Saccharomyces cerevisiae S288C: one gene and its partners. Each later gene encodes a partner of the first gene's protein in a complex. Each region holds a gene or a part of one and is shown on either strand. Other genes may lie near its edges.

Region 1 (2,716 bases):
AAGCTTTGGTCTTAACACTCAACAACAGAATGGACTTATCTTCTGCTGTGTTTGAAATGTGGTAGGTGGTATAGTCGAAATCGGAAACAATTCTGTCCATGGTCAACGGCGAACCCTTGCGAAGTGCCTCTATCGCTTCATTCAGTGTCTTTTGGATGAGAAGGTTTTGTGGTTGTAAGTGTAGCATTGCGGATTACCGTTTTGAGGCAAGAAGATTGCTAGTCTTGTATCTACACTAGTTCCTTTGAACGCTAGTTAGCCCCTATGCTTATAGTATTTCTTGTCAATACAAGCGTCTGAAAATTCAGATCGCTTTATACGAGTAAGTATGCCAAATACACCAAATATACCAAAGCATTGATTGCGTATACTGAGAATACATATATATATATATATATATATATATGTATGGTCATTGCTATTTACAAAAGGTTGTATGGAGTGGGAATATTAGAGAAAAGTAGTCGAGAGGCCAAAGAAAACTTAGAGCGTACTGCGCATCACGATTTACTTGGCTTCTTGGCTCCATATTTCGACCTCGAAGAAATCCTGTTTACCACACCACTCAGGTCACCAGCACCTCTGATAACATGGTACTTCACACCAGGCAAGTCCTGACAACGCCCACCTCTGACATATACAATCGAATGCTCTTGAGCATCGTGGCCCTCACCCGGTATATATGCAGATACCACGTTCCCGTTAGTCAAACGGACCCTGCACGCCTTTCTCTGCGCAGAATTCGGCTTCTTGGGCTTTAAAACCATTACACGTAATACGACACCCTTCCGCTGGGGACACTGATCCAGTTGTGGAGCTGTACTTATCTTCTTGCGTCTTGGAGGCCCGGAGCCTCTTTTAATCTGATTCAATGTCGCTTGCATTGTCGTAGTGGAGGAAAACAATCTCTGCGCCTGTCTCAAGGGCGTACACCATGTGTTGGACATAAACCTCGACAACATGGCTCTTGTTGGCCTGCTTCAATTCTGGTGTACCTGTAAGTTCTCCGTCTTTTCCCTGGTTATATGCGTTTTTTCTCCCCAAATCGTTTTGTCGCTCGGGTAAGACTGAAATGCTTTTAAAAGCACTATTACTGTTTATTATGCTATATATATATATATATACAGCCCGAGTCTGGCTTGATCTTATTTACATGATATATCATCTAGAAATCTATATACACTAGATCCCTCATTTGTTCTTGGTTTGAGTATAGCTGAAACGCTTCCTGGTAGGTGCGAACTCGCCCAGTTTGTGGCCCACCATATCTTCTGATATTTCAATAGGTACGTACTCCTTACCATTGTGTATTTGAAATTTCAGTCCCACGAACTGAGGAAGGATGGTGGCGGCCCTTGCGTTTGTTCTTATTGGAGTGCCCTTAGTCATGGCCTCCCTTATGGGTAATGGCACGATGTTGGGGCCCTTCCATACGGACCGCGATAAAAGTCTAGCTGCCGGTTGCATTTTATTTTTGGTGGACACTACTTCTGCCGATGCTGTACTGCTCTTGCAATGAACCTCACCGTTTTAAGTCATGGTTAGATTCTTACTAGGCGCTTCCAATTGCCATTTCTTGCTCAGCCATAACCGTGAATAGTGATCCAAACGCTAATGCCGGGTGATGCTTAAAATTTGAAAAATTATTGCAGATTTGTATTATATAGAAAGCATAACTGGCGATGAGATGTGCTCGAAACTGGACACCTTTACCATTGGTGACCGGTAGTGACAATGTTTGCATCGAGATTTGACCCTAGCCAATTGACTGCTCCTGCAGCTAGCGCACCAGAAGGAATCGTCGGAACTACTCCCCCGGCCATTGTGCCTTTAAAGAGGCAGGCTACTGAATCTGATAATGAAGAATATGGCTCTCACCAAGATTCTGATGAGAGTTCCAACTCTAGTTCAGAGGAAGACGAAGACCGTATGCAAGTAGATTATGGGGCTAGTGAAGAGGATTCGAGTGAAGTGGAAGAGGAAGAGAGTAAGCCAAGTACTCACAGCACAGTGCTATCGAGATTCAAGCAAACAGTATCATTGCAAGAAAGGCTAGGTGCATCTGATATTGCTGAGAGTAAGGAAGACGAAGGTATTGAAGACGAGGCGGCCTCAACTCACCAACTAAAACAGATTCCTCAACCTGAATTCGTCAAAAACCCAATGAATTTGAATACAAATTCATTACAGTTCAAATCTACGGGTTGGTTAAATACTGAGAAGATATATTATGATAATTCCTTGATCAAACCGTTCTCGGATTACGCAAATGAATTAGAAGCAAAACTACTGCAGAATATTTGCAAGAATTTCTCTACAAACACTTTTCCCATCCAATCGATCATCCTAGACTCCATATTACCGGTATTGAACTTCACGTTGAACGTATCTAAGAGAAACTTCACCAGAAGAATCGGTGATATTCTTGTAAATGCTGCTACCGGTTCAGGTAAAACTTTGGCTTACTCCATTCCTATTGTTCAAACCCTCTTCAAGAGACAAATTAACAGACTGCGTTGTATAATCATCGTCCCCACAAAACTATTGATAAACCAAGTTTATACTACGTTGACAAAGCTAACTCAAGGGACGTCGCTTATTGTGAGCATTGCCAAATTAGAAAATTCTTTGAAGGACGAACACAAAAAATTATCAAATTTGGAACCAGATATCTTAATCACTACACCTGGTAGATTAGTAGATCATCTAAATATGA
Region 2 (3,623 bases), on another chromosome or scaffold:
GTCAGTCTTAACAGAATTCCGTCATGAAGGTAATTATGTGTTGAATTTTGCCACACAACAATACAAATGTTGGATTTCGTTGCCAATTGTATTTGTACTAATTGCTGCGTTACAATTAGTTAACCTGTATTGGCTGTTTTTAATTCTTAGAATCTTGTACAGATTGATATGGCAAGGTATCCAAAAGGACGAAAGAAGTGACAGTGATTCTGATGAGAGCGCTGAAAATGAAGAATCTAAGGAAAAGTGTGAATAAACGTATCTTAAGGAGAATACGTATCATCATATGATTTCCCCCCTGTATGAAGGCCAAGTTAACATGGTATAGCTCATAGTTGTTGTTATAAGAAGCATAAACCCAAGTACGAAAGTAATAATTCTGTAAAAAAAAAAAAAAATGCGTTTATTTAGCGTCTTCGGGTTGGCTATATATATATATTTAAGGATATATGGGCATATGTACAAGTTTAGGTTAACAAGCCAAAAGAAAATAAAAGTGTTCATTTTTCGTTATTTCTGGCCAAGCGATTTTGCAAGCCTCTTTGGCCAGCTCTCGCCAAGACTCCTAGTAAGAAATTGACAGATCTCAATGAATCATCGTTACCTGGGATAGGGTAGGTCACCAAAGAAGGTTCGGAGTCAGTATCGATGATTGCGATAGTTGGGACCCTTGATTTAATTGCTTCTAACAAAGCGTTTCTATTTTCTGTGGGATTTAATACGACCAGCAAGTCAGGCTTAACCTGCTTTGATGTTTCATTCGGTGATAACGCTCTTTCGGTGGGATTGTCATTAGAGTCGATTTCCTGCTTCTCCCAGATACCTGAAATTTCTGTAGAATTCGTCAAAGTACCCGGGATCCATCTGGTAGACACATAATAACCATGTGTCTTCTTAGCAGCTTCCTCGAGCCCTCTTTTCTGGCCTTGTCTTGTACCCAGAAATAGGATAATGCCACCGGATTCCGAAACGCCCTCTACTACCTTGGCGGCTCTCTTCAAATAGGACAAAGTTTGGTTTAGATCTATTATGTGAATACCTTTATATTCACCGTATATGTAGGATTGTGTGGAAGACCTCCAAAGTGAGGTAGACTGGCCCAAGTGAACACCAGCAGACATTAAGCTCTCAACAGTAATGTTTTCTGGGAGGGGCGGATAGAAAATGTCCTTATGAGGATAGTAAACCTTCGAAATAGTGGCACCCAATTTAGCGGTACGCATGGAATGGTTTAGTTGACGCAAGAAAAGTTCTTGAGAGGAATATGGTTTGTCATTGGCCGAAGGTATAAGGTTAGGGTAAGGCTTGGTTGGCGTGGCTGCTGCTGTCGTTGTAGAAGATTGTCCATCTAATGTCTTGCTGTCAAACAACTTGTTCAACAGAGCATAATTTCTGAAAAAGTCACTCAATTCAGCCTCCAGCTGCTGTTCTTTGTCAGAGAGTTTGTCTTGCTCTAATGACTTTTTCAACTCAGGTAATATTTCATCTTCTGGTACCTGAGATAGAGACTTCAATTCTGATCTAATTTCATCATACAAAAGTTTCTGTTGCAACAGCATCACCTCATCGTTATTGTTAGGGGTGTTGGCCGCACCGGATGCTGACGACTGAAACCTTTTGGTAAGGGAAGGGTTCCTCAATAAGGAAAGACGTCTGAAATTCCTCGCAAAAACGTGTCTCTGCATGAGAAAAGAGTCGTTTCTCACTTTTTATTTCTCGAATCACCTGTATTTGTGCCCCGCGATAATCAGGCTCTCGAGCGTATGTACACTTGCCAGAACTGATTATTATTTACCATCAAATATAGCAGTGACCTACGACATACAAATTTCATCTCTCGGATTCACTTACCGAATTGATTTTTTTCTTGCACTCTTTTCTGACCCGGCACGGCCTTTTCTTACCGAGATAAACAGGAAAATAGGGCAGTATGCGTGTGTTATACGTGAGAGAGAGCAAGCGGGTGAGTATTCGTTTCATTACAGTTTATGCATTAACATAAACGTATACATATTACACATACACATATACATAGATAGATACATATACGCATATATTAATGCTCAGGTGCAATAACGGGTGCAACAACAGCAGCAGCAGGATACAATATGCAGTTTGAAGAGCGGTTGCAACAGCTAGTAGAAAGCGATTGGAGCCTGGATCAGTCAAGCCCAAACGTACTGGTGATAGTCCTTGGAGACACTGCCAGGAAGTACGTAGAGTTAGGAGGACTGAAGGAGCACGTGACTACGAACACTGTGGCAGGTCACGTGGCAAGCCGGGAGCGGGTATCCGTAGTTTTTTTGGGCCGGGTAAAGTACTTATACATGTACCTCACCCGGATGCAAGCGCAGGCGAATGGTCCGCAATACTCTAATGTACTCGTCTATGGATTGTGGGATCTCACCGCGACACAAGATGGACCGCAACAGCTGCGGCTACTTAGCCTTGTGTTACGGCAGTGCCTCAGTCTGCCATCTAAAGTTGAATTCTATCCAGAACCGCCTTCTAGTAGCGTGCCTGCCCGGCTATTGCGATTCTGGGACCATATTATCAGATAGCTGCATTGTGTTACATGCGATATCGTAGAAGACGATAGAACGAAAAAGAAACGTTAATCTTTTTTTCCTTTTTTTTTCGATTAAAAAAAAAAAATTTTCGCCTCGTGGCCCGAAACACGGCCAAGAGAGGGAATTCGAAAGTCTACCGCTTTTGGCAGCTGAAAAATTCAGAAAGTCACCTGGCCAGAGAGGAAAAATACGAAACCAAAAAGAGGCATCCGTAAATTCGCATTAGCAACGCATGCTTACATAGATACTCACATACTACACACACTTACATACTTTCTTAAAGACATACATCCGTACGTACAATTAGAGCGAGGTAGCAAGCAACCCAAACTTCTTCCCTTCACTGCCTCACACCCCATCCTAAATATCCCACAAGATCCTCGACTAATACAAGAAATGAGCAATGATCCATCTGCTGTATCGGAACTACCAGACAAGGACAGTCTTGATAACGGTATCAGCAATGACAATGAAAGGGCCATGGGCGGCAATGGCGATGGCGGCGATGGATTACGATTACCAAGGACCACTGGAACTTTGAACGTCAATGCCTTACAAAAAGGCACTAATGCTGCCCATGAAGCTGGTGGATACAAATCCATGGATCCTGCGAAGAACGCGGAGACAACCAATGATGATGACAATAATGTCGTTTCACTAGATGATCCTATTCAATTTACCCGAGTATCTTCCTCCTCTGTCATCAGTGGAATGTCTTCATCCATGAGTCCTCATTCTAACATCGATGAAACCAAATCTCTAGAAGCAGTCACTCCAAACATAAATACCAGCAATATAACCCCGGATCATTCTGCTGACAACACATTTTCTACCATAAATGCGTCCGAGTCAGATCACCAGTTTAATGACACTTTACTATCAAAACTGTCGTTAACAGATTCTACAGAAACTATAGAAAATAACGCGACAGTGAAGCACCAGCAGCCAGTTGCATCTTCCACAGTAAACTCGAATAAGAGCTCCACTGATATACGAAGGGCTACACCAGTGTCCACTCCCGTTATCTCTAAACCATCGATGACAACCACGCCA
Region 3 (2,572 bases), on another chromosome or scaffold:
GGATTTCTACCGTCCTCAATGTATTGAACAACTTCCAAGGGAATGTCCACCTTAGACAAGCTGGATTGAGGATCGTTGCTTCTCACGTTCAGCTTGTACAAGCGATCCACATTTCTTTGCAAGTTGGTGATCATTCCCTTGGTGGCTTCTGGAGTACCAGGAAAATCATATATCGAGACACCTAATTCAACGAAGGACTCAATAATCGAAGCCACTTGGTCTTGAGTAGTGGCCAGTTCTTGCTGCAATTGTTCATTGTTAGTGCTGTTTCCATTCATCTTATCGGTTTATTTTTCTATATATTTGCCTCTTTCTCAAACAGGAGTTAGTAGTTAAAAGTACGAAGTTCTTGTTCTTTAATGCGCGCTGACAAAAGAATTGGATAAAAGAGAATGGTGGGGGGACAAGAAGGAAATTTGTCCTAGTTTAACATGAATGGCATCTTGTTACCGGGTGGACATCACCTATTGATTCTAAATATCTTTACGGTTTATCATACTGTTCTTTATTCCGTCGTTATTCTTTTTATTTTTATCATCATTTCACGTGGCTAGTAAAAGAAAAGCCACAACATGACTCAGCAAATCTCGACAAAGTAAAAGCTCATAGAGATAGTATTATATTGATATAAAAAAAGTATACTGTACTGTTTGTAACCTTTTCAATGCTTTAAGATCAAAACTAAGGCCAGCAAAGGTATCAACCCATAGCAACTCATAAAATGAAGACCTATCATTTGAATAATGATATAATTGTCACACAAGAACAGTTGGATCATTGGAATGAACAACTAATCAAGCTGGAAACGCCACAGGAGATTATTGCATGGTCTATCGTAACGTTTCCTCACCTTTTCCAAACCACTGCATTTGGTTTGACTGGCTTGGTTACTATCGATATGTTGTCAAAGCTATCTGAAAAATACTACATGCCAGAACTATTATTTATAGACACTTTGCACCATTTCCCACAAACTTTAACACTAAAAAACGAGATTGAGAAAAAATACTACCAGCCTAAAAATCAAACCATTCACGTATATAAGCCGGATGGATGTGAATCGGAGGCAGATTTTGCCTCGAAATACGGGGATTTCTTATGGGAGAAAGATGATGACAAGTACGATTATCTGGCCAAAGTGGAACCTGCACATCGTGCCTACAAAGAGCTACATATAAGTGCTGTGTTTACTGGTAGAAGAAAATCACAAGGTTCTGCCCGCTCCCAACTGTCGATTATTGAAATAGACGAACTTAATGGAATCTTAAAAATAAATCCATTGATCAATTGGACGTTCGAGCAGGTTAAACAGTATATAGATGCAAACAATGTACCATACAACGAACTTTTGGACCTTGGATATAGATCCATTGGTGATTACCATTCCACACAACCCGTCAAGGAAGGTGAAGATGAGAGAGCAGGAAGATGGAAGGGCAAGGCCAAGACCGAGTGTGGAATTCATGAAGCCAGCCGATTCGCGCAATTTTTAAAGCAAGATGCCTAGATAGATAGAGTACGATATATAACCATATGTATGTGACTAATTATTTATTCCTTAATAACACCAATGATTACAACTTTCTAAAGCTGGCGGAGAATTCGCGCTGTACGAGAAAAGAGCGAAAACAGAGGAATATTCAAACTAAGAACCAAACTGCGATAAAGAGGATTGAAAGGAAAAACGAAAGAAAAGGTAAACTGACAAATATATACATTAACCGATGGGTAATTTCAGATTTCCTATAAAAACCAAGCTACCACCAGGGTTTATCAATGCTCGCATACTTAGGGATAACTTCAAAAGACAACAATTTAAAGAGAATGAAATCCTTGTTAAATCTTTGAAATTCATCGCTAGAAATATGAACCTTCCAACAAAACTGAGGTTGGAGGCTCAGTTAAAACTAAATGCATTGCCAAACTACATGAGATCTACGCAGATCAAAAATAGGTGCGTGGACTCTGGACATGCAAGATTTGTTCTAAGTGATTTTAGGTTGTGTAGGTATCAATTTAGAGAAAACGCTCTGAAGGGTAATTTGCCAGGTGTTAAGAAGGGTATTTGGTAAAAAATTTTATCGCGAAAGTATATATATATATATATATAGGATACGCACTTGTAAATAAATACATGATAATTTTTATTCTTCTTTAATAGATGATAATACTTACTGAGCAATACACTTATATGTAGAGAAGAATAAGATTATACACATACTGGGAGAAAAACAAGTAGCTATAGTTAGAGCTAAAATAACAAAAAAAGGCATACGTACATACAATGAGAAAAGGAATGGGATTGAAAAAGGGCAGTATCTGCCACTAAGTTAACGACTGAGAGATCGAGACACTCCTATAACAAGACACACTTCTTCTTCTTCTTTTCAGTAGTGTTCTTCTTAGCTTTACCATTCGTTTTAGATTTACCCATCAATGAAGCTCTAGTGGCGGCCTCAAACACTTCTCTGACACCATAACCAGTCTTGGCCGAACATTCGTAGTATCCGGTTGCGCCAATCTGGTCTGCTACAGATTGTCCCTCCTGTGATGTAACGGGTTGTTGACCTTC

The links. Proteins that work in one complex are often made in the same cells at the same time.
Region 2: MRPS12 (region 1) and MRP4 share a complex: the UniProt entries of both Saccharomyces cerevisiae proteins name them as parts of the mitochondrial small ribosomal subunit.
Region 3: MRPS12 (region 1) and MRP2 share a complex: the UniProt entries of both Saccharomyces cerevisiae proteins name them as parts of the mitochondrial small ribosomal subunit.

Annotation. Positions count from the first base shown.
Region 1 is NC_001146.8:693,861-696,576, forward strand, and holds MRPS12 (mitochondrial 37S ribosomal protein uS12m MRPS12), read right to left. Parts: upstream 963-2,716; coding exon 501-962; downstream 1-500. Other genes in the region: ARC35 (Arc35p), read right to left, coding at 1-187; mitochondrial 37S ribosomal protein uS19m RSM19, read right to left, coding at 1,192-1,467; putative ATP-dependent RNA helicase DBP6, read left to right, coding at 1,735-2,716. UniProt on the Saccharomyces cerevisiae protein: Component of the mitochondrial ribosome (mitoribosome), a dedicated translation machinery responsible for the synthesis of mitochondrial genome-encoded proteins, including at least some of the essential transmembrane subunits of the mitochondrial respiratory chain.
Region 2 is NC_001140.6:97,281-100,903, reverse strand, and holds MRP4 (mitochondrial 37S ribosomal protein uS2m MRP4), read right to left. Parts: upstream 1,686-3,623; coding exon 501-1,685; downstream 1-500. Other genes in the region: sphingosine N-acyltransferase LAG1, read left to right, coding at 1-256; YHL005C (uncharacterized protein), read left to right, coding at 1,684-2,076; SHU1 (Shu1p), read left to right, coding at 2,109-2,561; mitogen-activated protein kinase kinase kinase kinase STE20, read left to right, coding at 2,967-3,623. UniProt on the Saccharomyces cerevisiae protein: Component of the mitochondrial ribosome (mitoribosome), a dedicated translation machinery responsible for the synthesis of mitochondrial genome-encoded proteins, including at least some of the essential transmembrane subunits of the mitochondrial respiratory chain.
Region 3 is NC_001148.4:875,782-878,353, reverse strand, and holds MRP2 (mitochondrial 37S ribosomal protein uS14m MRP2), read left to right. Parts: upstream 1-1,724; coding exon 1,725-2,072; downstream 2,073-2,572. Other genes in the region: mediator complex subunit NUT2, read right to left, coding at 1-278; MET16 (phosphoadenylyl-sulfate reductase (thioredoxin)), read left to right, coding at 722-1,507; Rho family GTPase RHO1, read right to left, coding at 2,357-2,572. UniProt on the Saccharomyces cerevisiae protein: Component of the mitochondrial ribosome (mitoribosome), a dedicated translation machinery responsible for the synthesis of mitochondrial genome-encoded proteins, including at least some of the essential transmembrane subunits of the mitochondrial respiratory chain.